2 linked regions of the Solanum lycopersicum genome follow. The protein of the gene in region 1 interacts with the protein of each later gene in a biochemical or structural test. Links are inferred from orthologs where the notes say so. Each region holds a gene or a part of one and is shown on either strand. Other genes may lie near its edges.

Evidence for each region.
Region 2: of the proteins of SOS2 (region 1) and CBL10, one has a biochemical effect on the other in vitro, tested with the Arabidopsis thaliana proteins (6 studies listed by BioGRID, with this or other methods). The link is inferred for Solanum lycopersicum from reciprocal best matches to the Arabidopsis thaliana genes SOS2 and CBL10.

What each region holds. Positions count from the first base shown.
Region 1 is NC_090811.1:3,247,084-3,264,175, forward strand, and holds SOS2 (calcineurin B-like interacting protein kinase), read right to left. Parts: upstream 8,237-17,092; 5' UTR 8,115-8,236; intron 8,043-8,114; exon of another isoform or gene 7,951-8,042; intron 7,568-7,950; 5' UTR 7,501-7,567; coding exon 7,336-7,500; intron 6,713-7,335; coding exon 6,650-6,712; intron 6,532-6,649; coding exon 6,460-6,531; intron 5,444-6,459; coding exon 5,336-5,443; intron 5,256-5,335; coding exon 5,181-5,255; intron 5,077-5,180; coding exon 5,023-5,076; intron 4,141-5,022; coding exon 4,015-4,140; intron 3,493-4,014; coding exon 3,403-3,492; intron 3,021-3,402; coding exon 2,898-3,020; intron 2,727-2,897; coding exon 2,607-2,726; intron 2,084-2,606; coding exon 1,967-2,083; intron 1,451-1,966; coding exon 1,394-1,450; intron 1,310-1,393; coding exon 1,235-1,309; intron 1,129-1,234; coding exon 1,033-1,128; 3' UTR 793-1,032; downstream 1-792. Other genes in the region: YABBY5B (axial regulator YABBY 5), read right to left, coding at 11,393-11,455, 11,926-12,000, 13,192-13,267, 13,504-13,552, 13,990-14,092, 15,544-15,672. UniProt on the Arabidopsis thaliana protein: Involved in the regulatory pathway for the control of intracellular Na(+) and K(+) homeostasis and salt tolerance.
Region 2 is NC_090807.1:54,645,549-54,661,910, forward strand, and holds CBL10 (calcineurin B-like 10), read left to right. Parts: upstream 1-1,715; 5' UTR 1,716-1,801; coding exon 1,802-1,825; intron 1,826-1,897; coding exon 1,898-2,072; intron 2,073-2,167; coding exon 2,168-2,250; intron 2,251-3,550; coding exon 3,551-3,610; intron 3,611-4,180; coding exon 4,181-4,289; intron 4,290-4,384; coding exon 4,385-4,437; intron 4,438-5,464; coding exon 5,465-5,545; intron 5,546-5,625; coding exon 5,626-5,738; intron 5,739-10,491; coding exon 10,492-10,567; 3' UTR 10,568-11,073; downstream 11,074-16,362. UniProt on the Arabidopsis thaliana protein: Acts as a calcium sensor. CBL proteins interact with CIPK serine-threonine protein kinases. Binding of a CBL protein to the regulatory NAF domain of a CIPK protein lead to the activation of the kinase in a calcium-dependent manner.

The sequences.
Region 1 (17,092 bases):
GCTCTGGAGCTCGTTTGACCTTGAAAATGGGTCATTTTTGCCGTCAGGGTCAACTGAATCCATAGCTAAGGTCTGAAAAATTTCAGCAAAAATGACATTGGAATCGGATCACCATAAATTCATGGACTATATCACACGAAAATCGATAAAATTGGGGATTTACCTACTCCGGAGCCCGATTAAACTTAAAAATGGGTCATTTTGGTCGTCTGGGCCAATTGGATCCATAACTAAGGTCTTATCAGACGTCCATGAATATTTTTGGCAAATATGATATCGGAATTTTGAATCACTAAAAATTCTTGCACAATAGCACATAAAAATCAGGAAAATGGGGGATTAACCTTCTCCGGGACTTGTTTGACCTTGAAAATTGATCATTTTGACCGTCTTGGACAACTCGATCCGTAGCTAAGGTATTAACGGACGTCCATGAAGAATTTTGAAAGAAAAAAAAACAATATGTAGGTTTAGAACTGTGGGACTTTGCTCTTTAATTAACCTTTAGTTAATTAAGTTTAAAATTAAAAGATATTATAATAGGCATTCTATCAAAAAATACACTAAAACCTACGCAAGCACTCGTATTAAATGTTTAAGATCAAACAATATGGCAATAAGGTTTTACATTCTTGACTTCTTGGTGAAGAATTGAAGTGCTTCTTTGCAAACACGTTTGCAATAAAGAAATATTCTACTAATAGTATACTTTGAGGTGATAATTTATTTTTTTTTTTAAAAATGAAAACTAACTGTACCGATACCAAAGAGAAACCGATATTATTGGGATGGTTTTGAAAAGTCTAGTTTTGGTTATACATTATATAATATCCGAAAAATTGGTTACAACTGATCGAACCGTCTCATTTACAACCCTACTTGTATTGCTTTTGAGCCCATGATTTATCACTTAAGATATGTAGTGAACAAAAGATTAACAACATGCAGTTACACACACTATACCTAACACAACGAACGTCTTCGGAGCACATCAAATTGATAAGTGATTCACTTCATTCCCAGAAATCTGGTTCAGCGAGTCCTTGTCCTAAGCAGAACAGCATTTGACATGCCTTCCTTCGGTTTCCAAATGACGTCGTCAATTTTCGTGCAGAAGGTTTTGTAGAACTGCAAATGCACATAACGTCATTTTCGTGCAGAAGCTAAATATAAGTATGTAATGCAAGCTATAGTGAAAAAAAAAAAATCAGTCAAAGTTGAGTGTAGAAGCAACCTTGTGATATTCAAGAGTGTCCCCAGCAGCCTTTCTAACATCAACCATAAAAAGGGAAGGGGCTACTTGGAAAACCTTCACAAATTATAGAAAGAGTGGTCAAATGAAAATAAGAAACACCGATCTTAAGATGAATCGGTTTATTAAGTTTAAAGTTACCTCCAGCACAACAGCAAATTGACCAGCCCTATTTGCCGTTACCCCCTCAATTCTTGTCTGCAATGAGAAGAGTGGTTCAATAAATCAATTCCCACTCAATAACGAGAAACTTACCCAGGGTATTCTCGTTTAAGAACACGATAGAATTACCATTAGTTTGTATCCAGTGACAAAAAGGAGTGGTACTCCTCGCTCTGTGTTATAAAATTATAGATCTGCCCCTAGTTCCAAGATGTTTGCATCTTAAGCAACAGATAAATTTACAACCATCATTCATTCAGTGTTAAGCAAAATGCGACTAAAGCTTATGTGGCACAGTTACGATTTTGCTCCTTATAAAGAGCAGGAAAAATTGAAGGGGTGAATTCCTCCTGTATATTCCATTTTCTTTGATGTTGAAAGGAAATTGCTGTTTAATAGATTGTGGGAAAAGGGTAAAAAAAAATGCTGAAAATTACAGTTGATCCAATGGGAAACTGATTATTTAGTTACAACAATGCTTCATTCTGATTGAATTCAAATTTGAATAAAAGAGAATCATTTGTCCCTGAATATGGAGAGTTAGAAATATACCTTGTAATCGCGTGTGTGGACCTTAAGACCCAACGACTCTGCAGCTGCTTCAATAGTTTCAATGACGACTTTAGCAGGTTGGCGGGAAATAAATCGAGTTTGACGCTTGACATAATCCTGTAAGAATGAGAGAGGAAATTACTCTTTGTTATAAGAAGGAAGTTGTCAAAACCTTAATAGCAAAGAGACAACCTACTACACATGTCAGCATTTTTAAATTTGTAGAAACATAAATAACTCAATCATTAAAAATATAAGCTATTCAGATCATATCTGACACTTTTTTTTTTAAACGAAAAAATAATCGCGACGTATTTGATCTAAAATTAGATTTAGAAAAGTTGATATTATGTAGCATTGGCTCTGAGCCACTTGACTACAAGGAAAAAGGAGAAAAAAAAGAGGCCAAAAATAGTGAGAGATAAATTAACGTGCTTCTATATAAGAGCATGCTAACTAAAAATTCAAGGAAGAATCAATTTACATATCCCATCAGATTCTCTTCCTTATCCAAGAAACGAAAAGCTTACAAGAAGAAGCGGGAGAAAGAGATAAAACAGATGACGTTGTGATGAATTAAAATCTGGAAACGTCGGGTATGGTTTATTTTTTGGTCCATGAACTAAATTAATCATTGTACCTGACGTCTGTCAAACAAAGCGGATAGATTTAATCCCTGAGATAGTGTTATCATCTCAAATGCATTCATTACCAAGGGACCACTCTCACTATCTTCTGATTTTTCACTGACAAATGCATCCTGCACATAAAAATAGAACATATCAAACCTATAATGGGTGAGAACATCGAAGTATCAGGCCAATCACTTCAGTTAATCTAAATCCAGAGTACAATTTATCTTAAACTTGATCACTTCCTCACACAGACATACTAGTTAGCATACTAGAAGACGAATGTGAAAAGATTCAACCTCAATGTCGTCGAACACAGCATGGATATCATCAAGATTCACTACTTCATCTGCTTTAGCTTTAACAGCTCTGTAGTTTTTCCGGAACCAAGGGTCTCGTTTTATTCCATCAATCTTGATCCTCTGCATGTACATGGTTCTGAGTAAATCACTATGAAAACACTAAAAGGACTTTTGTACATGTTATGCTGAAGTTTCACAAATTAACCAAGAAAGAGGGAATGAGAAAAGGAACACTTATACTGAACAAAAGCAAAGAATGAGCAGAAGGCATGCTTAAGGCATTTCTCACATTTAAAATGACCTCAAAAAGGATTTCTATAACCAATCCGGGAAATTTGGAAGGAATTTAATCCATGTTACGGGGCTTCTCATATTTCATCATGAGGGATTTGTTTTTCCAGTACAACTTTAATGTTATAAGCTTATAGTAGATTGAATAATTAAGTGACAAATAGGCAATCGGACACCATAGTTTTCAGGGTTGAAAATATAGTGCACTTACAGTTTGAGGATTTGGATCAATGATTTTTTGAATCAACGATGTTGCACCAGGAGAAAACCAAAATGGACAGGAAAATTCAGCAGCCTTGATCTGTGTCAATATTAAAAGCAATAAGAAATTTGTGCAGAACAAACCATAACATTTAACATATAGTAAGCCACACATAGAGCAAACAATAACTTTAACATATAGCAAGCCGTGTACAAGTAATGTCAAGTTCTTTTAAAGCCCCAATTAATCTAATAAAAAACAAACAAAAAACAAATAATGGTAATAATAAAAAACACAAGGAGGAAACTCATGCAGATGAAGATGAAATTAAAAATACGGAACAATATTTTTTATGAGAGCAGTGTGGTCGATGCCAAGTGAAAGAGAGCTTATCCTTCACACAAAGGTCAGAGAGCTGAATAAATATATCAATCAACTCATTACACCTCAATCCTAATCAGAAATGAATAATATACATATGAGAAAAGAACAAATATTGTCCCTCATATGACCTATGATCCTTAGCATTTGTCACTATATAAGAAGAAAAAGAGAATCATTTGACAGAATTATCTATGCTTCCATTTAACACATTACAAATGCATGATGACTGCATCTAACCTTTGTATACAAGGTAGGAAGGTCTGTCTCATCAAATGGAAGATATCCTGCCATCAGAACATAAAGGATGATACCACATGACCACACATCCGCAGCAGCACCATCATAACCTCGGTTACCTAACACCTGAAGAAGTAACTAAGAGTAATAAGCCAGCTACCACAGAAAGAGTCCAAACACATTCGAATATAAGAAAACATAGTAAGCAAATTAACATATGTTCAGCAATTGACATAGTTCAGACAAATTCAACTTGATGCAAACCTCTTATATTAAACAATTCAGCACAAGGTTATGATGTTACCCAAAGAAAGGTAACTGACAGTTACTGCAATGATTTGAAGGTATATTACTACAGAGCTCATGGAAGGGAAATAAATTCTGATTCTCTCTCATTTGATGACTAATCAAAAGCCAATTGATCATGCTAGGTAAAAGGGATAGCAATGAATTAAAATGAAAGACAACCACCCCTCTGCTTCGCTTCTTTCTGATTCAAGCTCCTTGCAGATAAAACAAATACACACGGTGCTTATTATTGTGGACATCATTGAGGATGTATGAGGAATGGGAAAATAGATAAGAGGACCTAAGTTTCTAATCAATGAACCTGAAAGTCGGAGCTAGCACGGCAGAATCAAACAATACTCAGTGACATATTAATGATATAACTTAAATCTAGGCAGAACCAAACAATAAGTATAGCTGGTGCAAGTTACATATTAATGATAAGAAACTGTCATGAATAAATTCAGGCCAAACACGTGGAAATTCTTCTTAATTTTGGGTGGTGGTGAGATTCGATCTCAAGACCTCTGCTTGGCACTGATACCATGTTGAAGTGTGTGACCATCTCATCTAAAAGCTTAAGGTGTTAGAGAGAGTACATTTTTTATTACTCAATTATATTCTCAACAAAGGGTTTTGGGATAGCAAGCCAATCAAATGAAGAATGAAGGGTTGCATGTACAAAACAAGAAGAACATTCAAAATATATATGCATCATACCTCAGGTGCAACATAATTTGGAGTCCCACAAGTGGTATAGAGGAGCTCGACTCCCTGTTAGAGATTTGAGTAAATTCCCATTTAGAAGCTCTAATGAACAAGGAAAGAAACAAAAATAGATATACAATCTAATGCAACTAACATCAGATGTTGCTTACTTGTTGAGGCAATGCACTAAGCCCAAAGTCAGAAATTTTTAAGTTCCCTTGGAAATCAAGAAGCAAATTTTCAGGCTGGGGAACAAGGAGCAATAGTTAAAAGATTAAGATATATAATTTTCACAAAATATCTCTTCCAATCAGCAATTGCGAACCTTCAAATCTCTGTGGTAAACACCCTTGCTGTGACAGTGAGCAATTGCATCTATGAGTTCTTGGAAGTATCTCCTTGCTTCATCCTCAGAAAGCCTACCTAGATGAACCTATAAATTGAACGAATATAGAATTGAAGAGACAGATACATTACTAAATCTTGAAAATCAAACCTTGATAACTCATAGGGAGAAGGACAAAATAAACCATAAAGGGTTAAAGCTCCATGAGCTGAAGTAAACTAGTAAAGACGCAAGTGCCTAATTGGAAACTGGACTACTATCAATGAACCAGCTTATACCTAAGTAACCCAACAATTTATATGTTTGATGAGGATGAGATTTAGTTGATCAGAACCAGGCTGGATCATGCATTTCATACCAACTATTCAGGAATACTGAAAAAAATGTACAAAGTTCATAAGCGAAAATAATCCTTCTCGATAGAGTTCATCTCTGACAGAGAAAAACTGATTTAAAGCTAAATCGTCACTGACAAATTAAGCATTTCCGATCACTATCTTGTGCTTAAATAAGACTGGTAACACCTATCCAGAGGAACCTCTTGATCAGATGGAATTTTTGACTTACTAGAAGGTAACTCAACACACTCTTAACTGCTTTGAGAGTAAAGAAAATGATCTCCAAGCTCTCCACATAAAAAGCATGGACTGGAATTACTTTATCCAAATACAGAATGTCTTTTTCTACGGATATCTCAGCATGCCTCTATTTTTCAAATATAAAAAAGAGATATCTCGGTCATGCCTCTATTTCTCATTATACAGATTACTCCACCAGACTATTGCTTTGTGAATATTGTATAGGATGCACCAAAGATATCTGCTGCTCACTCCATTATCTACTTCCCCATCCTCCATAAGTATCTTGACCCAAACTACAGCTCATCCTAATAAATGAAGATTATCACTTCATAGAAATTCGTCATGGGCACACATCTTAGTTGCAACAATGTCTCAATCGTGCCTCTATTTTCATTTACAGATTACCTTCCTAGTCATTATCAGATGGAGAGTTATCCATCATCACATACAAGGAACAAGAAGTCTGCAAGAGTTATTGATTAAAGAAGGAAAAATCTTATTGAAAATTCTAAGGAATCTTACAATTTTATCAAAAAGCTCTCCTCCAGTGACAAACTCCTGAACGATATATATTTTTGTCTGGCTAGCTAAAACCTACAAGGGAACACAAAATCAATAAACATCAGCAACAGCAAGTAGCAACGATAATAGAACAACCAAACTCACAGTAGTATTTGTAATATAATACTTTTTATTCTTTTTTTCTTTTTACCTCATGAAGTCGAACTATGCAAGGATGTCTGACAATCTTCATTATAGATATCTCTCTTTTGATCTGGAAACCATCTCAAAGAACAGCACATTGATCAGCCAAAATGCCAGACATGGATAACAAGGACGGTAGAATAATCACACACAGACCCCAGAATGTGCTCTATTAACACAGAAATCTATTTCAAATGCAAACAGATAATAAAAATTCAATATGATCAAATCTTAATTCTTTTACACAGCTAAACTATTGCCAACCATCAGTTAAGAGGCTTAAAAATCCATCAACCAACTAAAATTTGACTATAATTACTCAATAATGGAGAACATGCTGATGTTCACTAATAGAATTCAGCTCAGATACCAGGCACATTCACATAGTTCAATTTTGATAACAGAGTTCATTGCTACGGCGTTCAATGTGAGCTTAATAGTCCACCACTGAAGCTGTCATGGTTACCCTTGATTCACATCAGATCAGAAAAGCCTACTGAAGTTCGACAGAAAAGATTTCAGACCTAAGTTCAATAATAATCACTTCACAGATTAGAATAACTTTTCTAATTATCAAGCTCCAACCTTTGAATATGGGATATGTGAACACCACTGTTATCAAAATAAAATAACAAAAATGCAGGACATGTAAAGCATATACTCGAGTGTTTGAAGGGAAGTATATCTTAATACCTGTTCAACCATTCTATGCTTAAGAATGGTACTTTTGGCCAAGACTTTAATGGCAACATTCTCTCCAGTCTCGGTGTTTCGTGCAAACTTAACCTTGGCAAATGTCCCTTCACCAATAGTTCTGCCAACTTCATACTTCCCAAGCTTTCTCTTCACTTTCTTCATCACTGAACACTCATTTCCCACAGATCACCAAAAGCAAAGCAACCTTCAACTATAGCTCATCAAAAACCTGTCAATTGAATCACAATAAAACTAATCAGTAATCTAGATCAACTCAAGCTGATCATGTATTACATGTGAAAATGCACACATATAATAAATACTTTCTCCGTTTCAATTCGCTTGCCTTACTTTTTTAATCCATTTAAAAAAGAATGCCTCTTTCCTTTTTTTAAAAAAAAAATTATTTCTGTTAAAGTAAAAATCAGACAAATAAATTGAAACCGGGATATGCAATTTTCACAGGTATAAAAACTTATCGCATATACATACTCATATGATTGAAGAAACTTAATACATAGACCTAGAACAGAAAATATTTACCATTACAACTCGAAATGCAATTTTCAATTGTGTATATATCCAAATTCAGAAATTAAAACGGAAAATTACATTAACTAGAAAAAGCATAAAAGCTGATTTCCGCAAAGTTTCCATCTTCGACCTAAATTTAACGCGATTGACGAGAGAAAAACAAAATTATGAAATTGAATTCAAGTAAATAATAAATTTCAGTATAAGAAAGAAAAATGGCGAGTTGCTGGCGGAATCGTTACCGGAAATGGAGAAATTCCGGTGGAGAAGTCGCCGGGAAATTGAGCAACGGAGAAATCTGATCGATTTGGAGCTGAGGTAAAATATTGGAGAAGTTTTGAACTGTGGCGAATAAAGAAGCATTGGTTAATTTTAACCGCTAAAAATCAATTTATCAGATTTTTTTTTAATCAGACCAAAATTTTATTTAGAATTTTGAGTTGCGTATCTATCGGTTCGATCCAATTTTAAAATTTATCGATTTATATAACCTTTAAGATACTAACTTATCAGTTGTTGGTCGTTATCGATTAAGTTATTGATTTAACAGTTAATATTTGACACCGAAAAAATTATTTAATATTACTTAGAAAAAAGGTGACAAACTAAATGAACCATGCACATTAGTTGATAGATTGCATATTGCTCAAAAGCAAACACTATAACAGGATAACTGAGAGTTTGAGATAGCCAAAAATAAAAATACGAAATTAAACTCTAACTTAGACTTTATATGTCAAATGATATAAATATAATTATTTAGCTTACTATTGAGTTATTGGTTAACTCATTAAGAAAAAATCTCAAACGGTTAAAAAAAATGATGACCGATGTAAGAAAAAACCATTACTAAATTCGTTAAACCAATAACCTATTAGGCTATTATCGATAAACCAATGATCGATTCAAACTTATCTATTTCAATTTAATTATGAACAACATTAATCAACATCCCATCACGAACTTACCAATTTCAATTTAATTATGAACAACATTAATCAACATCCCATCACGAACTTACCAATTTCAATTTAATTATGAACAACATTAATCAACATCCCATCACACCGACAATCAAAACAATTTTAGAGATTTTTCAATAAAACATTTTCTTTAATGTTATGTATCCACATTGACAATGACCAAATTTGAATTTGTATGTTGCACGATTTATTTATGAGGACAATACTCTGAATAAGACTTTTTTAATTTTAAAGAGTTCAAACAAAAATTTTAATTAAACATGAAGAGATTACGAATCATCTCACCATAATTAACAATCAAAATAGTTTATTAGTATTTTGAATCAAATTGTATTACATTATTTCATCGACCAAACAACCCCTATTGTCTATTCAAGTAAGGCTACAATTAGATGCATGAAAAAAAATGCATCCAATAATGGAGGACATGTAATATAGAACAAGTCAAATCTTACAATAAAATCACATGTAAATTGTTATATATATTGATCGAAAACAAATTCAACTAAAATAACAATCTTGGACTAATCTTACTTTAAATAAATATTTTCCTTGTGGACCTTTCTAGATAAATTGATCCGCTTTTATATTAAAATAATAATTTATAAATTTTGAGTTTTAGTTCTAAGTATGAAATTATTTTATTAGAAAGTATTTGATTACTAATATTATAAAGACTCAATACGTATATCAAACATAAAAAATAAATTTTAAAAAACTGAATTTTCATCTAATCTAGCAAAAAATGATGAAATACGAAATATATCGTATTCCTTCACTTTTGAGAGTAGGTTAGATGACCATCCCGCTTCATCTGATATCAAAATTATTGTAAAAGATGCTTAAAAATCGCTACGACTAGACAAAAAGTAAATCAAAAAAGATTGCAAAAACTATATAGAATAATACATTATGCTAATCAACTATCTTGGCAAATCTTACCAAATTACAACTTTGTTAATTGATATTTGACTTATTAGCCAATTATATTATTTTTTGTGGGCCTAAATGTGGCTAACATCCAAATTTAACGTAGCTTTAACAAATATAAGTATATAACACTTAACAGATAAGGAAAATAAAGTGTTAACAATTTTTTTTTTTTTTTGATTAATTTGTGGTGTGTGATGAATTCAATATTTTAAATGTGAGCTCTCATTTTCAGGTTGAAATATTTAATTACAAAAAATAATAGTCATACCGAAAAGGAAAGGGACTAGGGACAATAATATTTTTGGTCCCACAAAAAGTTAATAAATTTTAAATTTTGATTTTTGCTATATATGTTTTTATATAAAGAGATTAAATATATATATTTTAATTAATTAAAAATAAATATATTTAATCGTATATTAATCAAAATAATAATTTATCGATAATTGCTTTGATTAAAAGTGATATTATCCCAAAAGTCAAACCACTAACCCTTTCAAATGATTAAGTATCAATTTAATTTAATCGATGAATTTAGTTCGATATTAAATTTATAATATATAAATTTTTAATATTCTAAAGTCGTTTTTGAAATGGTAAAAATAGAGAGATAGAGTGCTATTCCATGGTGGTCTATGCAATTTTAATTTTTACCAGATAATATTCATATGTGTTATAGCGTAATGATATTCATTAACATACACATAATATATATAATATATGCTTGGACATAACATAAAAGTTCCTTTTTATACTATATATAGGTTTAACTTTGTACAAAAAAGAAGAAAACAACTTTTGCAATCAAATATCTATCCAATAAACTAATTAAAGTAAAGTACTCATGAATAGTAAATGAAAAAAAGAACACAAACATACCACAAAAAGTTAGAAAGTGTTGTTTCTAATTATTTATTATTATTATATACAACATATATAGTACAAGTTGTTTTGCTTAGAGTGGAAATAATTTTAAAATTCATAGGTCTATTTCCTATTGTTTTTAATAATTGTTAGAAATATGGTACACCATGGTGATGATAAGTAATTATCTTTTGACATAAATGGAAAAATACATTTGTTCCACAAATAAATCAAGTGTATCGAAACTTCTAAAGGGATTTTAATATTTTCGATCACTCTAATTATTATTTTAAGATTTTATTTTTCGTCGATGCTTAATCTATCTCGCTACTCTAGGTCCATTTTTTGAGAGTGTACGTATATCACGCACCATCAATTATTCAATCAGATAGTACATACATCAGACATTATCATATAATCAATTAAGTATGTTTTAATATATAAATAGTGATAATTCAAATAGATAAAGAGAATAACCGATAGTTAGACTATTTTATCTAATACCTTAGACTTAATAAACAAAGAATAAGAAAGCAATCTAAATATCTAGAAAGTTTTTTCTCTCATTAATTATTAACTAGAGAAAGATAAAATAAATTGAGGTAGACAATAAAGGAACTTCAAATAATTAATTTCCAAATTATATTACACAATTTTTAAGTACTACTAATAAATAGAACAAATAAAATCACACTTTGTCTTAAATAATTCAACATACAACATGTAGAGAATTAATACTCTTAGAAGGTGAAGGTCTTTATTTTTGGCAATGCAGCTCTATGCATTATAAGCTTTTCTTTGTTCTGCACATAATTGGAATGAAGAACAAATTAGACACAAATTAAAATTACTACAAGTTAATAAAAGGAAATATAAATTGAGGATATTGTTATCTGCTTTAATTTACGTATCTTTTTTTAAAAGGGAATGTCCGGTGACTACTAAACATTCCACGTTCATGCAGGATTTGGAGAAGTCAATACTAATTCCACGGCTCAATATTTAGTAAATTTGAAGGATTTTCCGATACATTATATACATTTTTAGCTTATAAGCAAAAATTCGACTAGTATTTCCCTTACACTTTTGGAAGTTTTTCTTCCTTAATTACATTTATACTAGAATTGTTTTTTTTCTCTTCATATTATTGTAATATTGTGTCATTTTTTTGACAATAAAACAGAAATTTAAAAATCTATCGTCTCAGTTTATGTGATATGATCTGATCGAAGAATATAATATTTATATAGTATAATTTTAGGAATATTATTACCTCACTAGCACCAAGTTTAGCTTGATTGTCAGTCTCTAACATGAGGCCAAACTGAATGTGAGGGAAGTGTGCCCACTAATTAAACCAAACAAAGCTAATAAATCAGTAATTACTAACCATAAAAAATTCAGCAAAAATAATAATTATAAATTAAGAGAGAAACTAAAATATTTCCTTTTAAATTCATTTTTAAAAAAAAGGAATAACAATTTTCTAACTTGAAAATAATTTAATAATTTCTAATTATCTGTCCATCAAGACATCATCAGAAATATATTTTGACAATCAAATCAATTCTCAACCGATATTATACGTATGAAATTCAAGTTCTTTTTGTAATGAATGAAAAGTTTTTTATAAGGAAAAGAGTCTGATATACCCTTAAACTTTGTCATTTAGAGCTGATATACCCTTTGTTATGAAAGTGACTCATATATATCCCTATTTATAAATAATTAACTCACATATACCCTTTTCCTCTAACGGAAATAAAAAAAGAATAATTTTAATCTAATTTTTTATTATTTTTTTCTAAAAAATATAATCTCATATGAGTAAATTTAATCTCCGACAAACATATTTTTTTTGATTTTTTTTTATTTCAATGACTAATGTAGAATTATTATTTTGATAATCAAATTTATTTATGTTTCACTAATATTCTTGTAAAACTTATTGTAGATGACCAAATTTTTTTCTTCGAATACAAAATCAAATTACAATATAGACAAGAAAAATAGTTTAAATTTTTTTTCTTTAAACTAAGGAATGAAAGAAAAATAAATAAAATAAGAATAAGAAACTCAAATAATTATAATAAAAGAAATCAAAAAATAATTTATGTATGAAAAAAATTAAAATATACCTTAAACTTTGATAGAAGAATCATATATATCCATAAATAACTTTTTTTTAAAAATAAAAGTAAAAAATATAAATTTAAAACTAATTTTTTAACTTCCGTTAAATGAAGGATATGCTATAAGCTTATTAACGGCAGAGGTATATGTGAGTCATTTATATAACAATAAAGACATATATGAGCTACTTTCATAACGAGAAATATATCAGGTTCAAATAACAAGATTGGTGATATATCACTTTTTCCTTTTTTATAATAACCACACGTACCAATGTCATGAGATATTTAAAATCATAAGTGTTATCACAACAAATAATTAACATATATATATATATATACATATATATATATTATTATTATTATTATTTTATTTTTCTTTTAACTTTTTGTCTATTAAAACTTACATTTTTAGCAGCAGTACTAAATGCTTCCCTATGAGTGATATCTGGATTATTAGCCTTGATCCTTTGAATCTCCTCTCTGCATAAATTATTTTAATATATAGTTGTTAATAAAATTCAATAAATATCTAATAATTATATAATTAGCGGATAGACTATAAATGTTGCTCAAATTTTCTAAAAAAATAGAAATAATATCATATTACACTCGTGTTAAATTCTTTAAAATAAATTATTTTTTTGAAGGAATATCAATATACACCTATCGATATATTTTTTAAAAATTCGATCATCATAGAGATAGAGTTGTCTTACTTTATAAACTGATTATAAGCAGAAGGTCCTCGTTGCCTCTTTTCCGGAGCTGAAAAAAAAACTCTTAAAAAATTAATTAAATTTAATTGAGTTCAAGTTCGATACATTGATACGATAAACATATACATAATATACAATTTGATGATATTTTTAGAGTTTGTCATATATACATCAAAACATGATTACTTTCTTTTTTATACATTATTAAGTTAGCAACAAAACCTACTATGTTACTCGATTGGACTCTTCAAGAATATTGTTGAATTAGGGTCAGATTCTTCAAAAATACATTATTTTTGAATGAATTAACAATGACATTTCTAAAGAGTCTGAGCAACATAGTCCACGATCTGAAGTCTTGAAAAAGATATGTTACCCGCGAGTTGAGCTAGCTATGTTTATGCATGCGATCCAACATCCTTGGTTGAAAAATTAAACAATATAACACACAAAGTTAAAATTAAATTTGTTTAATATATTACGTACGTCGATTTACGTTCCTCTCCTCAAGAGTAGAGTTGTTTGTGATGGATGATGAAGCAAAATCTACCTTGTATTGATCATGAGGAGAATTAGTGTAGTTTCCTACCTGAAAATTAAAAAAATTACTTACAGAAATTAGAAGAAAATTTTATATGGCATCATTCAGATATCAAGAATTCATCGAATAAATTTTCATTTAATAAATATTTTGAATCGATTAATTATTGTTATTAATAGTATTTATAATTTATTCAACAAACTTAAAGTCACAATCAAAATTTATGATTTTAGTCGTTAAAATTTGAACTAACATCACATAAATCGAGACGGATAGAATGTTGGTATTTTTTTTACCAAAGAATTGAAATGATGTTTTGTGATAAAGACGAGAAGATAACAAAACAACATTGAAGTGACTGAATAAGTTATTCTCGTGATATTATTTTCAGGACAAATATCCTTTTCAAAAATCAAAATATGCTAATTATTTTAGGATGTGTTTCCACATTATAGGACAAAAAATGAAGAAAAAAAAAACTCAGAATATTTCATATCAATCAAATCAAACAATTCAAAAGCATGTAACATTTTCATTATAATAACCAAAAAATTTAGCGAAATCGATTTTTCATATTATGTTACAGTATTACTATATATTCGATACAACAATATTTCACCATAATAATAAAAATATCCAAAATTATAATGAGGTTTGAAAGAAAATTAAAAGAGTAGATCATATAATGTTAGTTTGTATATGATTATGGCTATTATAACATGTATTTATTTTTAGTCTGTTTCAAAAAAAAAAGTTAGCATCTTTCTATAATTGAAAAGAATTTGATTTTGAAAATTTCTTGTTTGCCCTATAATGTATTGAATATAAATGTCTACGGTTTGTTTTAGATCATAAATATTAACAAATTTCTTTTTTAATTTCCTTATATTAAACCATATCTCATACTCTCTCTGTTCACTTTTATTTGTTCAGTACTTTAGAAAATCAAAAGATAACTTATCATCATTTAGTTCCTAATTTTTCCACATTATTATCCAGGGGGACCTAGAGTCACCCCTCGGCAAAAGAATTCGTTGTATATTTAAGGTAGTTTTAAAAAGTTTTATGTTTATATATTAATTTTGAACCTCCTGAATATAAAATTAGAGGTCGGCTCAGTAATTGAAGGGTTTAAATCTCAAGCACTGCTCTCTTTTTTTTGACTAATGAAAATTCTGAATCCCGCCACGGTTATTATCTATAGTCATTTTCCAATGTTTTCTCGAAATATTAAATTTATTATATTAAAGGAGTGATACCTCAGTAAAAGGATAATTTTCATTGATCATATTTTAAGAAATGTACCAAGTAAATATTGGACAAGTAAAAATAAACGGGGATCGGACCATCGAGCAATGTCTGTATTTTCTTAAAAGAAGTAAAACCTAGAAAACCCTAGATGTTTTTTTTTTTTAAAAAAGGCTATAAAAAAAAACATAACGCCCACAATTTCAGCTGCAAAAAAGAAAAGTTTGTTTTTTTTTTTTGTTAGAATTGACCTGATGATGAAGATGATTTTGCCAAGAATTGGTGTGAAATGCAGCAGCCATATTAACGGACCACAAATTTGTGCAATGTCCACATCTAACTGTCACTATATCAAGCAAGTTGCTGCATGGAACACTCACCTGCAAATATTATTAATAATCAAAACGCGTTGCTCTCGAGTGATAAATACTTTTTCATCCTCTATTAAATCAGAGGTCTCATATTTAATCCCTACGTATAGAGTTTTCCTGTTTTACGTAGTGTTGTTAAGTATTGATAAATATTCTTTCATTCTTAATTAATCAGATGTTATGAAGTGTTTTTATCCCTAGCACTATATGAAACTTTCTTAATGCAAATTCGAATAAATCAAACCCTAATGTGAATATCGAGCGAGAAAATCAAATAATAAAAATAAAAATAAAAATAAAAAGAAGAAGAAATTATTAGGAGTATATGCTCCAACTATATTTTCATACTTAATTTTGATGATATATAGTCACAAGTGAGGATAGGGCTTAATAGATGTGAATTCAATATTTAGAGTCAATGAGATTTTAATATATTTATAGCAGAAATAATAGATTTAGTTGAACTCGGAGAATCCTTTTGATAGGCGGGAGATCGAAATCTTGAGATAATTTCTTTTTTCTAAGAAGAAGAATGTTAGAAGTTCATGATCTTTAAATTCGACTATAAATCAGATAGTGAGAATGAAAAAAAAAAAGAAAAAAGGAGAGCAAAAATTACCTTGTTTGTGCTCATTTGACTCCTCTATGGATTGAAATGAGTAATTGAGTACAATTTACATATAGATTTACATGTTTCTAGAAAAAAAATAATGAGTTTGATTGAACTCGCAAAACCCTCTACCTAATGGTAAAGGGGAATTAATTTAGGTCTAAATTTTGACATCTACATTTTTTCCACTAATCCACCAAAAATGTTAGAAGTTCATGTTCTTTATATTCGACTATAAACAAAGTAATGAAGATGAGAAAAGACATAACGAGTTGATCATGTGTTCAATTGAACTCACAGAACTTTCTACATCTGCCTCGAGGGTTAGGGAGAGGCCAGGGGGGAGGTCATCAACTATATTTTTCCACAATTGCACCAAGAAGAAGAATGTGAGTACTTCACATTCTCCAGATTCGACTATAAACCAGGTAGTAAAAACGAGACAAAATCTAAATTTTCTTGTTCTTGATTATTTGACTAGTTCCATTACAATTATGGAGATGAATCAATTTATAGATCTAAGATGTGAACAAAAATCGAGAAAATAAAAAAGAAACCCTATATCAAATACATTTCAAAGCTTAGTGAGATTTTTGAGAAACCCTAAAACACAACTAATTAATTGGTTAATTCCACAATTAAATTAGTCAAAAATTTGAGGACTTAATCATATATGACTAAACCCCATGAGCTAGGAAAAAGTCTTATTCTTTTTTTTGATAGCACACTGATCAAAATTACTTTAATTTTTGCAGCCTGTTAGTGTATTCTTTTCAGTAAAGAGAGAAAGGTACAACACAAAAATATATTAATAAATTA
Region 2 (16,362 bases), on another chromosome or scaffold:
AATACAATTTTTTCTAACTTTATACAACAGAAGTGTATATATTGTGTTTCTGTTTTTGTATAAAGCGAGAAAAACATATATCTTCTTGCTATACACTTATAATTATGCAATATACATACATTTTAATTCGATTCAACTGTATGCAAAGCTAATTATACAATTGCAGCGAAATAGGCCAGCGAATTATACAATTTAGGCCAGCGAATTATACACTTTTATATGTATTGCGAATTATACAGTTTTTATGTTTGCTATGGAGCGCAATTATGCAAAGTTTGCTATATTATACAAATATGATTTTTTTTGTTTGCTATATGTGAAAGTTGCCCTTTAAAAAATGATGGTCTAGTTTGATTTGGAATGGAGTTAAAGAAAATAAAGAAAAAATTTTAATTTGTGGTTCAAAATTAGAGTTATGTCAAATGTACTCAAATGTCTTTTAATCTTGCAGTCTTAAACATGTGACGTGAAAAGTTAAAATTAAAGTATTGCCAAAAAAAAATTAATTATTTTTTTTAAACAAACTAAAAAAAAAATAGAAATATTTTTTTTTGAAACGAAGGAAATAATTATTTTTGTCATTATATAACAATAAATTTAAACAATTTAATATGATAAAGCAACAATGAATATAAACATTAAATTGAACCTAACATTACATTATACATTAATATAAGGCCAAATATATAAGCAAATTCCTAAACTTGTTGGGTTTTTTCTCTCATGTACTTCAACTACTTCATTTTTCTATTGAATCATTGAATTCCCATAATTTGTTTCCTTTAAACAAACAATGTTGTCTGATGTGGAACCAGATTTATGAGGGGTATTGCTAGAGGATACATATATTGTTCCACAACTCATTAGTCCAATTGATTGTGAAAATGTTCGAGAATAATTGTGTTTTACTTAAGTCATTTGAACACATTAGAAAACAAATGAGACTAACACGGTTTGTATTCATTCCTTCAATCAAAATTATTATAATTCGAACACAATTAAAGGCATTTCCAATAGAAAAGCCGATCAAAATCAACCAACAGTGTTTTAAAGGAATAAATTATGGGTGGTTCAATGATTCAATAGAAAAAAATGACTTAATTAAGATACCCAAGGGAAAAAACCCAACAAGTTTAGGAATTTGTTTATATATTTGGCCTTAATATAATATAAGGAGACGTAACAATCATTAGAAGGTGTAAAAGTATGTGACTCATACTTTTTAAATAGAAAAATAAATATGTAAGATAATATAAAGTTTATTACGTGAACCACCTTAACACTTGCACAGTCGTGTGGATCTGATCTTGCACTGACATTAAAGAACAGTGCGTTTAAATATGATTAAAAAACATACTTATACGACTAATTAATGTTTTCTAATATTAATATTAAGATTCTGTCCATATAAGTAAATTTTAGTATTTAATCATATTAATTAGGCGTAACATGCTCGTTTCGATATTTATCAAAACACACACTTTTAATTAAATAATTAAATTTAAATACGCCCTCATCTATAGATAATATAACAAGTGTCTTATAAAAACTTTTAATTTAAAATTAAAATAATATTAAAAATATCTCTAAATTTAATAAAAAATTAATAATAAATCAAAAATGTATTAAATTCAATTAATCTAATAAAATAAAATAATATTTTTTGAAACAATAATTTGTAGTATTAGTGTTCTTCTCAATTTTTTTCATTTAATAGAAAAAACAATTTGATCATTATGATTCTCTCTCCTCTCTGTCTTCTTTATTGGTAAATTTGTGAAACGAAATGTGATACGAATCAATGGATTCCACTCGAAATTCTCTGGTAAATTGCAACAATTCATTTAATTTCACATAGAATTCTATTTAATTTTCATTTGTTTTGTGGATTCTTCAGAGTTGGAGTTCTTTGACAATCTCAGAGAAAATTTGTGCTTCATTTTTCCCCATTATTGCACTCATTGAAGCTTGTATGTATGCTGTTTCTGGTTGCTTCGAATGTCATTACCCTCCAAACAAAAAGTTCAGTTACGAATACACGGACCTTGCTCGACTTGCCGGGGAATCTCGATGTAATTAACATTCCATTTTTTTTTTCAAAAATTAAAATCTGATTTGGAACTGTATAGGTTGAATCATTTTTTGGTGAATTTTGATTTTTTTGCAGTTAATGTGAATGAAGTGGAAGCATTATACGAGTTGTTTAAGAAGTTGAGTTGTTCAATTATCGATGATGGTTTGATACATAAGGTGATTTGTCCTTTTTTTTTTAGGGTTTTGCTTTTGTTATCCGTCTGTTCCAATTCGTAATTTGTGATAAGTTTTTTTTTTTTTTTTTTTGGATATTAGTGCACTTAGACTAATTCAGTATATTTAGCAATTTTACAAAAAAAAATTACATATATTGCAAATTCCTTTCCAAAATGATGAAATTTTTTTAAAAATTACTCGGAATGTTGTTTGATTCTTGTTGATGATGCTTACTGTTAAAGTTACTTTATATAAAAATAAAGAAAGACCAATCTGTTTGATTCTTGGAATGAAACTAGGATGACAGTATTACTAATATGCATGTAGTTTTGCTAGAGATAGGAAAACTGGTACAAGGATCAAGACTATTAGTTAGTTATAGTTAGAATTACTGTTCAATGTAAAGTTGGTCAGAGTTACTGTTCATTGGAAAGTTAGTTAGGATTTCTATTAGATTTTGTTACTCGTTCTTTTGAGTAGTTGTATCCATTCATACGAGCATATCTACGATTGTAATAGTCATTGTAAGGCATCTTTTGAAGTACAATATCTCTTTTTTTGTCTTCTAATATTTCTGTCTCCACTAAACTCTTGATTTTCCTGTGTTAGCTTCTTAGCTTCCTCAAGTAGTCTCATGTATTAGCCTTTTCACAAATCAATTGTGCATCAGAAACCCTCTTGTCATTTGTTGGATATGTGGAATGGAGTGTTGGAAGTAAAGGTGCGCCCAACAAGGCTTGCTTTCGGGTTTTAAGTTTGATGTAAGGTTTAAGTTGGAGAGGAGGTCTGGGTTATGAGCTTAATTATTGGGTGTGGCTGAACTTAATAAATTCTTTGCAATATGTATTATTTATTTGTGTGTGTTCTATCTGCTGACATCGTAATATATCTTATCCTGAAAATTGGACGAGTCTTCGTACAAAGAGAAATATGTAGGTAGAGATTTGTGCAATTTTCAGTCCTAACCTTTCAGCGACATCTATCTCAACTTTTATCTTCATTTTCCGTGAAGTTTCACCTTTATGTTAGACATTTCTGGTCAAATGAAGGAAAGAGAATGAATATTAGTTTTTTGAACCTTTCTTTTCCTCTTATTTAAGTTCTTTCTTCATCTTCAGATAGATGATAACAGTGTTCTTATTCATTTTTTACAAATTTGCATATGCAGCATATCACTTTTTTGCAGTTTTAAGATCCTTGAGTGGTCTTTTCCCTTCCTCTTTACTTTTTCTTACTGAAGTATGTGCAGAGTTTTGAAACTATTGTCATGTTATATTTATCTTTTGCTTTCTTTTTCCAGGAAGAGCTTCAGCTAGCCTTATTTCAAACTCCACATGGTGAGAATCTCTTTTTGGACCGGGTAAATGCACTTAAACTTCTGTTGCTAGTTCATCTCATGTTCTCTCTTGGGATATCTATCTCCATTCCATGAGAACAATGCTAGCATATTATATATGATTTGTGTTAGATTTGAATATGCTAAACATGCTAATTAATGCACTTTGATGTTTCAACTGAAAAAGATGGTTTATCTGATCGGTCTATATATGAACTGCCAGCTTTGGGGTTCTTAATCGATATGAATATGTCACATAACACATTACTATAGTTGGCTGTCCATGTCATTTATCAGCACATTTAGGTGGGTCAGATGGATCAATCATCTGAAGTTTTCCATATTCTATATAAGTAGGATAGTTATTTGTCAACTGTGCTGTTAGCTTTGTGGTTCTTTACATGTGATATCTTGTTTGACTGTATTGAGGACAAGCTGCTTTCTAATAGTTGAAATATATATCAGGGAAAGCTTAAAAATGAGGAAAGAGTTAAAAGAAATCTGCCTTGCATCAACTTGTCTGACCTTAATTTCTTTATGAAGAAATTGTCTTTAGTTTCATGTTGATGAACTTTCCAAGTTCCTTTTCTGCAGGTTTTTGACCTTTTCGATGAAAAGCAGAATGGAGTTATTGAGTTTGAGGAATTTATCCATGCACTTAATATCTTCCATCCATATGCTCCAATAGATGATAAAATAGACTGTAAGGAGTGTAAACCATTCTTTTAATTAATAGTTGTTCTATTCAAATCATCTGGTGTGTGTAATTCATTGTGATCACTTTTTTTTCTCTTGCAGTTGCCTTTAGGCTGTATGATTTACGACAAACGGGGTACATTGAGCGAGAAGAAGTGAGTAATTAAGTTTGACAATTTCTGTCAACAGCTTTGAAGTTCTTTTCTTCTCCAAAGATGTGATATTACCATATGCTTTTAAAATAACTACCCCTTCTATTCGAATCTAACAATTGCTGATAACATGTACTATTAGTTTGCAGACACTAGTGTTTTAAGTTCTATTTAGAAGTACTGGAAGCGAAGGAGAATAAATTTCGCTTACGTATTGCAGGCTATAAACTATAACATATGTTAAACGTAGAAAGTTGATTGATTCTGAAACTGAAACTAGAATATAGATCTCACTGATGATGTCTCAAAAAATACTTTGGATACAAAATGATTTGTTAAGTCAGACGGGAATGGTATTGTGAAGTGATTGATCATAAACTTAGACTGCATTATTTATATAGGAGAATATAATACTACTCTGAGTGTAATGGAAGTGGAGAAGAGTGAGCACAAGGTTCATACAGAGTATTGCCCCACAAGTAATTTACTTTAACTTATTAAAAGTTGTTACAGCTGATATATACAAAGCACAAGCATTGAGATTGACAATATTTTGGCTGCAGTGACCAGTTCTTAATAGCATTACATGCTTAGAAAGCATGTTTTTAACTTGGAAGTTTCTGAACTCCTAGTTTATGTGATCAGTTCCCTGGATGATACAATGCTGATCAAAACCTGATCAGTTATCCTTCTATTAAGCCAGAACAAACTCATTTTTTTTCTTCTATTGTCAAATAAGTGCATTTGTTATAGAAGTGAGTATATTGATGCAATAATGGTAAAAGGAAAGTAAATATATGGATGTAACCATTATTGTAGCTAATTATTATTTGTGCAGATGTTGATGCAATAAAGGTTGAAATCCAGAGATAGCATTTAAGTTTATGTTAACTGAAAGTTCATTGGCAGAACCCTGTGCATAGCTAGGTCTATGGTGTAATCTACTTGCAGTGTGCTGTGTTAAAGTTGATGTCAGATTTATTTTTAGATGCATTTATCCATGAATTGATTGGAAAGTTTCTTCATTTAGGTTAAGCAAATGGTAATTGCAATTCTGATGGAATCTGAAATGAGGCTATCTGATGAACTAGTTGAGGAAATTATTGATAAGGTATGCGTTTGTCAAGATGAATCTTTTCTCCAAACCCATGTCTGCTTATCATAATTTTTATGTCTCCGTCTTTCTGATAGACATTTGCTGATGCTGATGCTGATGGGGATGGCAAGATTGACAAGAAGGACTGGAAAGAGTTCGCTATCAGATACCCATCATTGCTGAAGAACATGACTCTGCCCTATTTGAAGTAAGTAAACTGTTCTTTTGCATCATGGCTACTGTGCTTTTATTATTGTTGATTTAACCACCTGATAATAGATCTAGATCTGATTCATTTCCTCTTGTTGCTGTTTTCTGTTTCTCTTTCCCCACACTTGTTTTGTTAAATAGGAAAAGGGAAAACTGAAGAGAAACTAAACCTCCCACCTCCAACCCCACCCCCACCCCTCCTCTCCCTCCAAAATCTGGTGTTTTGAACCCCAATCAAAGAAAGAAGTAAGCTTGTGGTAGGATGGTAGCTATTCATTATTGTTGGCTGATAGAGGATATTCTTGTCATCAAAGATATGATCCTATCAAAGATGTGATCGTTTAAGATCTTAGGATAATTGTGGATATCATTACTCTGATTTTTCTCTTAATGTAAAATATATATGATTCTGTATAATCCCTGATTTCATGGGATTTAGGTGGTTCTATTCCATAATCTCTTATGTATATATAAAGCCATGTAATATGACATAGAAATATATGTATGAAATTATTCAACAATCTTATTCCACATGGTATCAGAGCTTTAGGCTTATTCCTGACCAATTTTTTTTGATGACAAGGGAAACCCGCAGTCGCTACCCTTTGGGTGCGCACAGGGTAAAAACTCCACTCCTATGCAATAGCTCGCAAATCTTATAGGAGAGGTAACTCGCACTAGGCAAGCCTGGTGCACAAGCTCGACCCAGAAGGCAAACCCCTTGATTTCGCGGGCAAGGGGTTTCAAACTTGAGACCTCCAACATGGAAGTCACAAGCTCAAACCACTGGGCAACCCGAAGGGTATTCATGACCAATTTTGTTCATCCTACCTAGACAAAAACCCATTTTTGCTACCATGTCTGAAAATGGTACTGCCGCAAACATTCCAGTCTCTGAAAATGTTTTTGCAACCGTAGAGAATAACTCTATAGTTTCAACTAGAGATTTGGAACATTCAGCTTCAATATGTAGTTGTTCATCGGCTTTCACAAGTATTTCTTACTCTTTTATTACTTATGTCTCAGACAAACTTTCTCCAACGTGGGTGGTTGATTCTGGGGCAACTTATCACATGACCGGTCTCTCTCATCTCATCATATCATATTCCCCTTGTCCTAGCTATAAAAAAATAACTATAGCTGATGATTCAGTTGTCACTGTAGTTGGTCGAGGAGACATACTACTTGGAAAATCCTTGATACTTAAAAATTTCCTTCATATCCAAAGTAATCTGTAAATCTCATTTCTATCTAGAAACTCACCAAAGATTACAAATGTCAAGTAACTTTCTTCCCTTCATATTACTTATTTTGGATCAGAACACGAAGGAGATGATTGGGCGTGCTAGTGAGAAAGGTGGTCTTTATTGTTTGGATTTTCACAATGGTGAATATATATCTAAGAATTCCTTGTCTAGTTCATTCTTGTCTGAGTCTATTATGTTAAATAAAGAGAAAGTATGGCTTTATCATCGTCGGTTAGGTCACCCTTCCTTTTATGTAATCAAAAGGATGTTTCCATCTTTGTTCAAAGATTTGATTGTGGAGTCTTCTTTGTGATGATTGTGAAATTACAAAACACAAATGTAGTTCCTTTCCAATTAGTCACAAAAGATGTCAAACTCCATTCTCTCTTATTAATGATAACTGGTGACCCTCTCCGACTCCTAATATTTCTGGTGCTAGATGGTTTATGTCATTCATTGATGATTGTACAAGAGTTACGTGAATCTATTTGCTAAAGCAAAAATCTGATTTCAGTCAAATTCTTCCTACCTTTTTTAATATGATCAAAACCCAATATGAGGTGCCAATTAAAAGATTCCGATCAGATAATGCCAAGGACTACTTTAATTAAAACCTCTCTTTTCTTCCAAAAAGAGGTAATTATTCATGAATCTTCATGTGTCAATACTCCTCAACAAAATGGGATAGCAGAGAGAAGAAATGATCTGTTACTTGACATTACTAGATCATTGTTGTTTCACAAAAAGGTGCCAAAACAGTATTGGGGGGAAGTTGTCCTAACTGCTGCACATCTTAGAAACAGAATGCCATCAAGATTTCTGAACTTTCAAAGTCCGATTGATACTCTTAGGAATTTCTTTCTAAATTAGGAAATTTCCAATAAATTGGTTCCTAGAATCTTCGGAAGTGTTGCCTATGTTCATATTCATTCTCAAAATAGAGGCAAAATTAGATCCACGTGCTCTTAAGTGTGTTTCCATAGGATGTTCTCCTACTCAAAAAGGTTACAAGTGTTATCAACCGTCATCTAAGAAATTCTTTGTTTCAGCAGATGTCATATTTGATGAGAGTGAATCCTTTTTTAATCATTCTTACAATCTGGGGGAGTCATTGAAGGGAGAGGAACCTCTAGACTTGTCACTATTTGAGTTGTCTATTTCTAGTCATGCCAAATTCTTGCCTGAGTCACCATTTGTTCGGTCACCTGAGTCTATGAATCCAAACGAACCCATTGAGTCTCCTAATCCAAATATAGATAATGGAATTCTAGAAAATAATCTACCATTGCAGGTATTTTCCAAAAGAAAGAGACAGACTGATCAAACTAGTCAGTTGCAAGCATCTCCTCAGGTTACTACTTCTAATACCCATCCTAAACCTGCTGAACCGTCAGAACCAGCAAACTAAACTGTTCATGAAGTAGAATTTAACCAACATAATGACCTTGACCTTTCCATTGCACTCAGAAAAGGAATTAGATCTTGCACACAACACCCTTTGAGCCTTTTCATGACATAGCAAAATCTATCCCCAAGTCATAAAACTTTTCTCTGTAACCTCCACACAATTTCTATCCCCAGAATTTTGTCTGAAGCATTAGAAAATAAAAAACGGGAGAAAGCTATACAGGTAGAAATGGAAGAGTTGGAGAAAAACAAAACTTGGGATATTGTGAAATTACCAAAAGAAAAAAGGTTGATCGGGTGAAGATGGGTGTTTACATGAAATATAAGTCAGATGGGTCCATGAAAAGATAAAAAGCACCTTTGGTAGCAAAGGGTTATACACAGACCTGTCGAATTGATTATTTGGAGACCTTTGCCCCGGTTGCAAAAATGAATACAGTGAGAATCTTATTATCATTGGCTGCGGTTTTTAATTGGAACCGGCAACAATTTGATGTAAAAATTGCATTTTTACATGGAGACTTAGATGAGGAGATCTATATGGAGGTGCCACCTAGTTTTGAAAGCAAGAAGGGAATGGTGTGCAGACTGAAGAAGACACTTTATGGATTAAAACAATCACCTCGTGCATTTTTTGGAAGATTTACAAAGGTTATGATCGAACTAGGGTATCAACAAAGTCAAGGAGACCACACCTTGTTCATAGGACACTCAAAACAGGAAAGGTGACAATATTGTTGGTTTATGTGGATGACATCGTAGTAACAGGCGATGATTCAGAGGAGATACAAAATTTGAAAAAGTGTTTACTCAAGGAATTTGACATCAAAGAGCTTGGAAAAATAAAGTATTTTTGGGGAATCGAAGTGGCACACTCAAAACAAGGAATCTTTATTTTCCAACAAAATTATGTGCTTGATTTGCTGTAGCCAATTTATGCATGATCCTAGAGAAATGCATCTTCAAGCTGTCAATCAGCTTCCACAATATCTCAAAGGAAGTCCAGGAAAAGGAATATTATTCAAAAGAGGAGGAGACATGGTTTTGGAGGCTTATACAGATGCGGACTATGCTGGTTCATTAGTGGATCGAAGGTCAAGTTCAAGATATTGCACTTTCTTAGGAGGAAATCTAGTGACTTGGAGGAGTAAAAAACAAAATGTAGTAGCTAGATCAAGTGCAGAATCTGAGTTTCGATCTATGGCTATGGGAGTTTGTGAGTTGTTATGGTTAAAGATAATCCTTGATGATTTGAAGATAAGATGGGAAGGACCTATGAGACTATATTGTTACAATAAATCAGCAATAAGTATAGCTCATAATCTTGTACAACATGATTGCACTAAGCATATTGAGGTAGACAGACATTTCATTAAGGAGAAATTAGATAGTGGACTCATTTGTACGCCATTTGTATCTACAAAAGATCAGGTGGCTGATGTTTTAACAAAAGGATTACCAAACAATGTGTTTCAAGATTTAATAAGCAAGCTAGGAATGGAAGATATCCATTCACCTACTTGAGGGGGAGTGTTGGCTGATATAGGATATTCTTGTCATCAAAGATATGATCCTTTAAGATCTTAGGATAATCGTGGATATCATTAATCTGATTTTCTCTTAATGTAAAATATATGATTCTGTATAATCCCTGATTTCATGGGATTTAGGTGATTCTATTCCACAATCTCTTATGTATATATAAAGTCATGTATATGACATAGAAATATATGAATGAAATTATTCAACAATCTTATTCCACAATTATGTCTTTTGAATATACAAAATATTATGGACATCCTTTATTATGTGTAATCCTTTTTCTTTGTTCTGTTGCCTTTATGAACTCTCTTTTGTTCGTTGGTTCAGTTGCTCAGTCAAATTCTCTTCTCTCACTGGAAGAACATTTTATATGCACAAGGCCAAAAGAAAAATGTTTCTACTGTGCTGTTTTGCTTCCTTCTTTGGTAGCAAACCAGAGAAAACAAAACTTTTATATGTTCTCTTTCTACATCATACTGTACTTTCCATGAAAACTGTTGCGTTGATTAACCAAAAACCTCTAAAAATAATGTTTTCTTGTGCTTCATTTTACAGGGACATCACTACTTCATTCCCAAGTTTTGTCTTCCACACACAGGTTGAAGACATTGAGAAAATCCATTTGTTGTGACAAGTTGTGCACTAGCCATAGCGAGGAAATATGATCGGGACAGGGAACTCTGTTAATCTGGCTAAATGGTTCGTGTCATCCCTAGAAATGTCCTCCATTACAAAAGGGAACATGTTGATCATCAAGTCTAAAGCAGCAGCCAACAGCTCTTCTTCTACTAAAATGGCTTAAGCTGTCAGCCTGTTATAAGCATCTCATTCATTTTCAGAATCAATCTTCAAAAGTCTATTGTCTTAGATGGTGATTTAAGATGATCGATTGATAAATCATCACATGTATTTCTGCCTCAACCTAGCATCTAGTTACTATTTGCAGTGTACCCCCAAAAAAAAAAGGGAAAAAGAAATTGCCGTGTATATAAATTTTTACCATGAATTTGTGTATCTGGTTGTTATCAGTTTCCAATTCAGTGATTGATGTCCTGTTTAGATTGTTCATCTGTTAAGGTCCAATCTTCATACTGTACTTATCCTTTCTTTTACTGAGGAGATTTATACTTTGCTGCATATTGTAGGGTGTGTTTTTTCTGATCTGTGTTTGGATGGATTAATGCTCAATATATGAGTTTTCCATCTTCTGTTGCAATGCAGAATGCTTCCTTGGAGAGAATTGTTCAAGTTCAGGAAACAATATTATATTTTGGATAAGATAAATTAGGCTATAACTCAATAAAACCTTCAGATTGGTGCTCTGGAGATTAATTTGAGGAAACTTACGTAAATATACTATAATAAAAAAATATTTATCATTTATAGCAATAATATTTTTTTTCACTTGATCACTTTTAATTCGTTTATAATACACGTTTAATACATATTGCAAAGAATAATTTATTATTCACATATAATATAAATTTTAATGATGAATAATACATTTATCACACATTTTAATACACTTATAATATAAAATGTGATAATTTTTTACCAAACAAACATGATATATTTCAAAAAACAATTATAATTCACATATACTGCATAAATAATTCACTTTTAATACATATTACAGATTTAACAAAACATTTCTATAAATAGTAATAAACAAAAAATATCACTAAATCAGTAATTATTTTTTAAAATGTATTAATTTATATAATTTTTCCTTAATTTAGCCTGGGATATAACTTTATTGGAAAGAAATTGGGTTGGATTTGATAAAAATCGAGGTAGATTGGGCTTAATGTTAATTTTAGAGAAAAATCCATAAACAACTATAACTTGGAGCGTAATATCATTAGCAGCTATAATTTTGACTAATTACGAATTATAGTTACTATTTTGGTATTCCTCGTATACATGATATTAGTATATACTTTAGGCCATCTTTCGAGGAAACCTTGAAGTACTTTGTAAAAAGAAATAGACAAAAGGTGTTAGTTCCCGGAATATTCTGGATATCGGGGATGGTGTAATATTGGAAAAATTACATGGAAAAATAAACTTATATCAGAAATTACTTAAAATAGTTATGGTTTGCTTTACTTATCATTCGCCTTTTACTTTTTGTCAGTATTATCAGTTTAAGCGTGCCTTTTTTCCCCTTTTAACCCCCGTTTCACACGTTACTTGTGAGACTCTGCAGATTTTTTCTTTTAACTTTTTTTCACCATAAATTTAAAATTTCTACCTTTGCCTCTCAAGTTGTTCTCTCAGATTTTCCAGGTAATTATTTTTCCGATTTCATGCTTATTTCATTATCTTGTATTTTATATTACTGCTAACTTTTTTGTTCTTTTTCAGTTTTTCTGTTTTATACATCCAAAATGAAGAAAAAACACCTTCTAAGAGAATCATTAGAGTTATACAGTCGAATCAACAATTTTTGTATGATTTTCCATCTTTTTCTTTGGGTTTAACTCAGGATGTCGAAGAAATTTCAGGATCCATGACTAAATCTTGAATTAATCAACAAGATCGTATGTCGAAATTTGGTAATACCCCATTGAAGATGCAGGAAGTCATGCATATTGCAAATTCAAAAGGAAAGACAAAAAAAAGTGAATAAACATAAAGAAGACAAATCTGTTGATGTTTTGACTTCAGCGAACAAGCGTAAAGTAAAAGAGATTGCATCTACAAGCATTAAACAAGACAAATCAGTTGAAGTTTTGGATTCAAAAAAGAAGCGTAAAGTAAAAGATATTGCATCTACTAGTAATATAGAAGATGCCCAATCTGATTCAATTGAATGACTACATTTTGAAAGAATTGAGGTAAGTTGTAGATGTTTTAAGTTCACATCTAAAATTGTACGCATATCTTAACTGTTTGAATATATTTGTATCTCTATATACAAAAATGAAATTCTATATTCAAGTTGTTGTTGCATTATTTTGATATTTGTGTTATACTTGTTGATAAATTATATAAATTATGTTTTAATTGTATTCATATTTGTATAACTTTTTATATATATATATAGATATTCACTTTGTATAACTTTGAATTTGTATATAGATATTTACTTTTTATAACTTTGTATTTGTATATAGATATTCCCTTTGTATAACTCTGTATTTGTATATGGATATTCACTTTGTATAACTTTGTATTTGTGTATAGATATTCATTTTGTATAAGTCCGTATTTGTATATAGATATTCACTTTGTATAAGTCTGTATTTGTATACAGATATTCACTTTGTATAGTTCTGTATTTGTTATACAGTTTATGCTATTTGTCTTGTATAATTATATATTTGAAATTGTATAATACATTTACATTATTTATTAGGGAGTACAATTTTTTCTCAAGGAAGATTCACTTTACACAACACACGTGCAATGTTATACCAATATTGGGGTAATGGATCAATTACGCTCCAAATTGCCTTCAGTTGAGTTCAATCAATTTTGCGCATCATCTTGTTTTGCTCAAATATCAAGTATGTATTGTTGTCATGTTCAAGCACAATTGTTTAGATGTTTTATGTTGCGAGAGGTAGAGGGTAGTTCTTCTAATGTCATTACATAAATGGTACCACTCTACGTTTCACCCGTAGAGATTTCTGTCTTGTTTCTGAGCTTAAATGCAGTGATGATCTGTCAACATTTATGTTCACACTGAAAAAACAAATAGACTTCTTCAGATGTATTTTCAGAAGAAAAAAAAGTGTATCAAAAGCAGAATTTGTTTAGAGTTTTAATAATAAGGTATGGGGTGATAACGATGAAAATGCATTGAAGTTTGGAATTCTGTATTTCAAACATTCTTACATTCTATCTGAAGAGTCATTCTCTACAACAATTGATCGAATCGACTTTGACTTGGTAGAATCTGAAATGTATATGGATTATTCATGGGGTAACAAAGCTTTTGAGGAGCTAACAAAAAATTTGATTGGAAAAAATGAACAAAACAGGGAAGTACTACAAAATTCATGAATTTCCTATTGCTATTCAAGTGTGATTTTGTGAGTGTTGTTCACAAGTAGACAAAAAAATGGTTGTTAAAAAATCTGACCATATTCCTAGAATTCTCAATGGAATCACCAAAAAGGATTATCCCCGCATTGATTACTTCATGAAAGAAATGTTTCACGATGTCAATAATTCGGTATGTACTTTTGCCTACTTTTAATATGTGTTGTTCTTTATTTTATATACAAATATTGTTTATCATATTTATACATATACAATAAGTAGAACTTTCATTTTTATACATGTACAAGTGTTTATACATATATAAATTTTGTGTTCTTCGTAAATAATGTATGTAGTTACTCACTAATTATACATATATATATATATATATATATACACACACACATATACATACACATATATATATATATATATATATATACATATACATACATACATACATATATATATATACATACATACATACATATATATATATACATACATACATACATATATATATATATATATATGCAATGATTTTGTTATAAATTTCAGATTACTTTTCGGAACATAACTCCAACTCCATTGAAAATTGCAATCATTCCATTGCCGCCAGATTATGTCCAATCTGATACAGCTTCACCATCAGTAGCACCTTCCAACATTGAAGCAGATGATGTTATACAATCTCATGAGTCATATGATGACTTTCAAGACCCTCCGAAATCAATTAACAACAAGGGAAAGAAAAAAGTTGTATCTGATTCTGATATCTTAACTATCAAGAAGCGGCTCAGGCAATTTGTCTAGGTTATACCAAAAATCCCACCCAAAGTTGTTCAAGATCACGATACACAAATGCCACAAACATGCAATGCCCCAGTCTCTCCATCAGTGAAGACTCGACGTGTGAAGCACATAAAGCAACCTGTTGTTATTGTAACCAAGCCAGCCATCAAACAATTGCCTCTCAAACGTAAAAAATCAAATGCTACAGGTGTTACAACATCGAACAACGATTCATCTCAAATCAACATTTCGCGTGCTGAATTTGATTCATTCAAATTGTCTGTAAGTATAATATTATTGCACATATTGTTGTATATTTATTTTTAAAATTTTTGAAATTCTTACCTTCATGTATTTCTAGGTAAAAGAATAGTTTACAAATTTAAGAAAGTTGATAAAAAAAACAACATCAATGTTGTACTGAATGCCATTATAACAAAAAATTAACTGCGAAGGTTTTGTATTCAAACATATAATTACATTTGTTATATAAATTCAATTGTGCATGTTGAGTTTTGAATGTTTATTTCAGGATTCTGATACAGAAATTTCACCAAAATCTCCAATTGGGCATGCCACAGTCACCTATACACTCTCCATCTTCAAGTTTCAGACAACGACGTTCGAATGAAATGAATAACTTAGAGAACATGAGGTAATTCAATAATATCCAAATGTATATGTACAACTTTCCACTGTTTATTTCTGTTATTACGTATATATACAAATTGTAATCTAAATTTTTTACACAATATTTGTTTGCATAATTGTTATACAATATATGTTCATATGTTAATTTTTGAACGTCGTACTATTTTTGTATATGTATTTATATTTTTAAGCCTATTGATCAGTCTTTGAAACTTTTTATCATTGATGAATTATCACCGAATGAAAAGATTTTGGAGGTTTGATTTTTTTTCCTGTTGTCTTTGTATACTTTTGTTTGTATTTGATATATTTTTAGAAATTAATTAAATCCAAGACTGTTGGTCAATCTTTGAAGGTTTCCATCATTGACGAGTTATCACCAGATGATACAATTGTAGAGTTTTCATTATGAACTTATATGATGTTTTTGTATATGTCTATATACATTGATAATTTTGTATCTTGAATTTATGAAAATTTGTTTCAGGATTCTGATTTAGAAGTCCCATCGAAATCTTCAATTGGGGGTGTGCCACAGTCACCTATAAGTTCCGGACTACAACGTCCAAATGAAATGAATAACTTAGAGAACAGTGAAGTAATTTAATATTATTTGAACGTATATGTGCAACTTTTAACTGTTTATTTTTATAATTACATATATATATATATATAAATTAAAATCTATATTTATTATGCAACACCCGTTTGTATAATTATTATACAATAAATGTTCATATGGTAATTTATGAACATTGTTATTTATTGAAGGTTGTCATAATAGTTGAGTTTTCACCATATCAAGAAAAAGAGGAGGTTTGATTATGTTCTTAACTTATGTTTTTTTTTTATATATCTATGCTTTGAACTTTTATGTATAAAGTCTCTGTTTGCATACACATTTATTAAAAAATTATTTTTTTAAGCTTGTTGGTCTGTCGTTGAAGGTTCTCATCATGGACAAGTTATCACCGGGTGTTTCCATCACTGGTG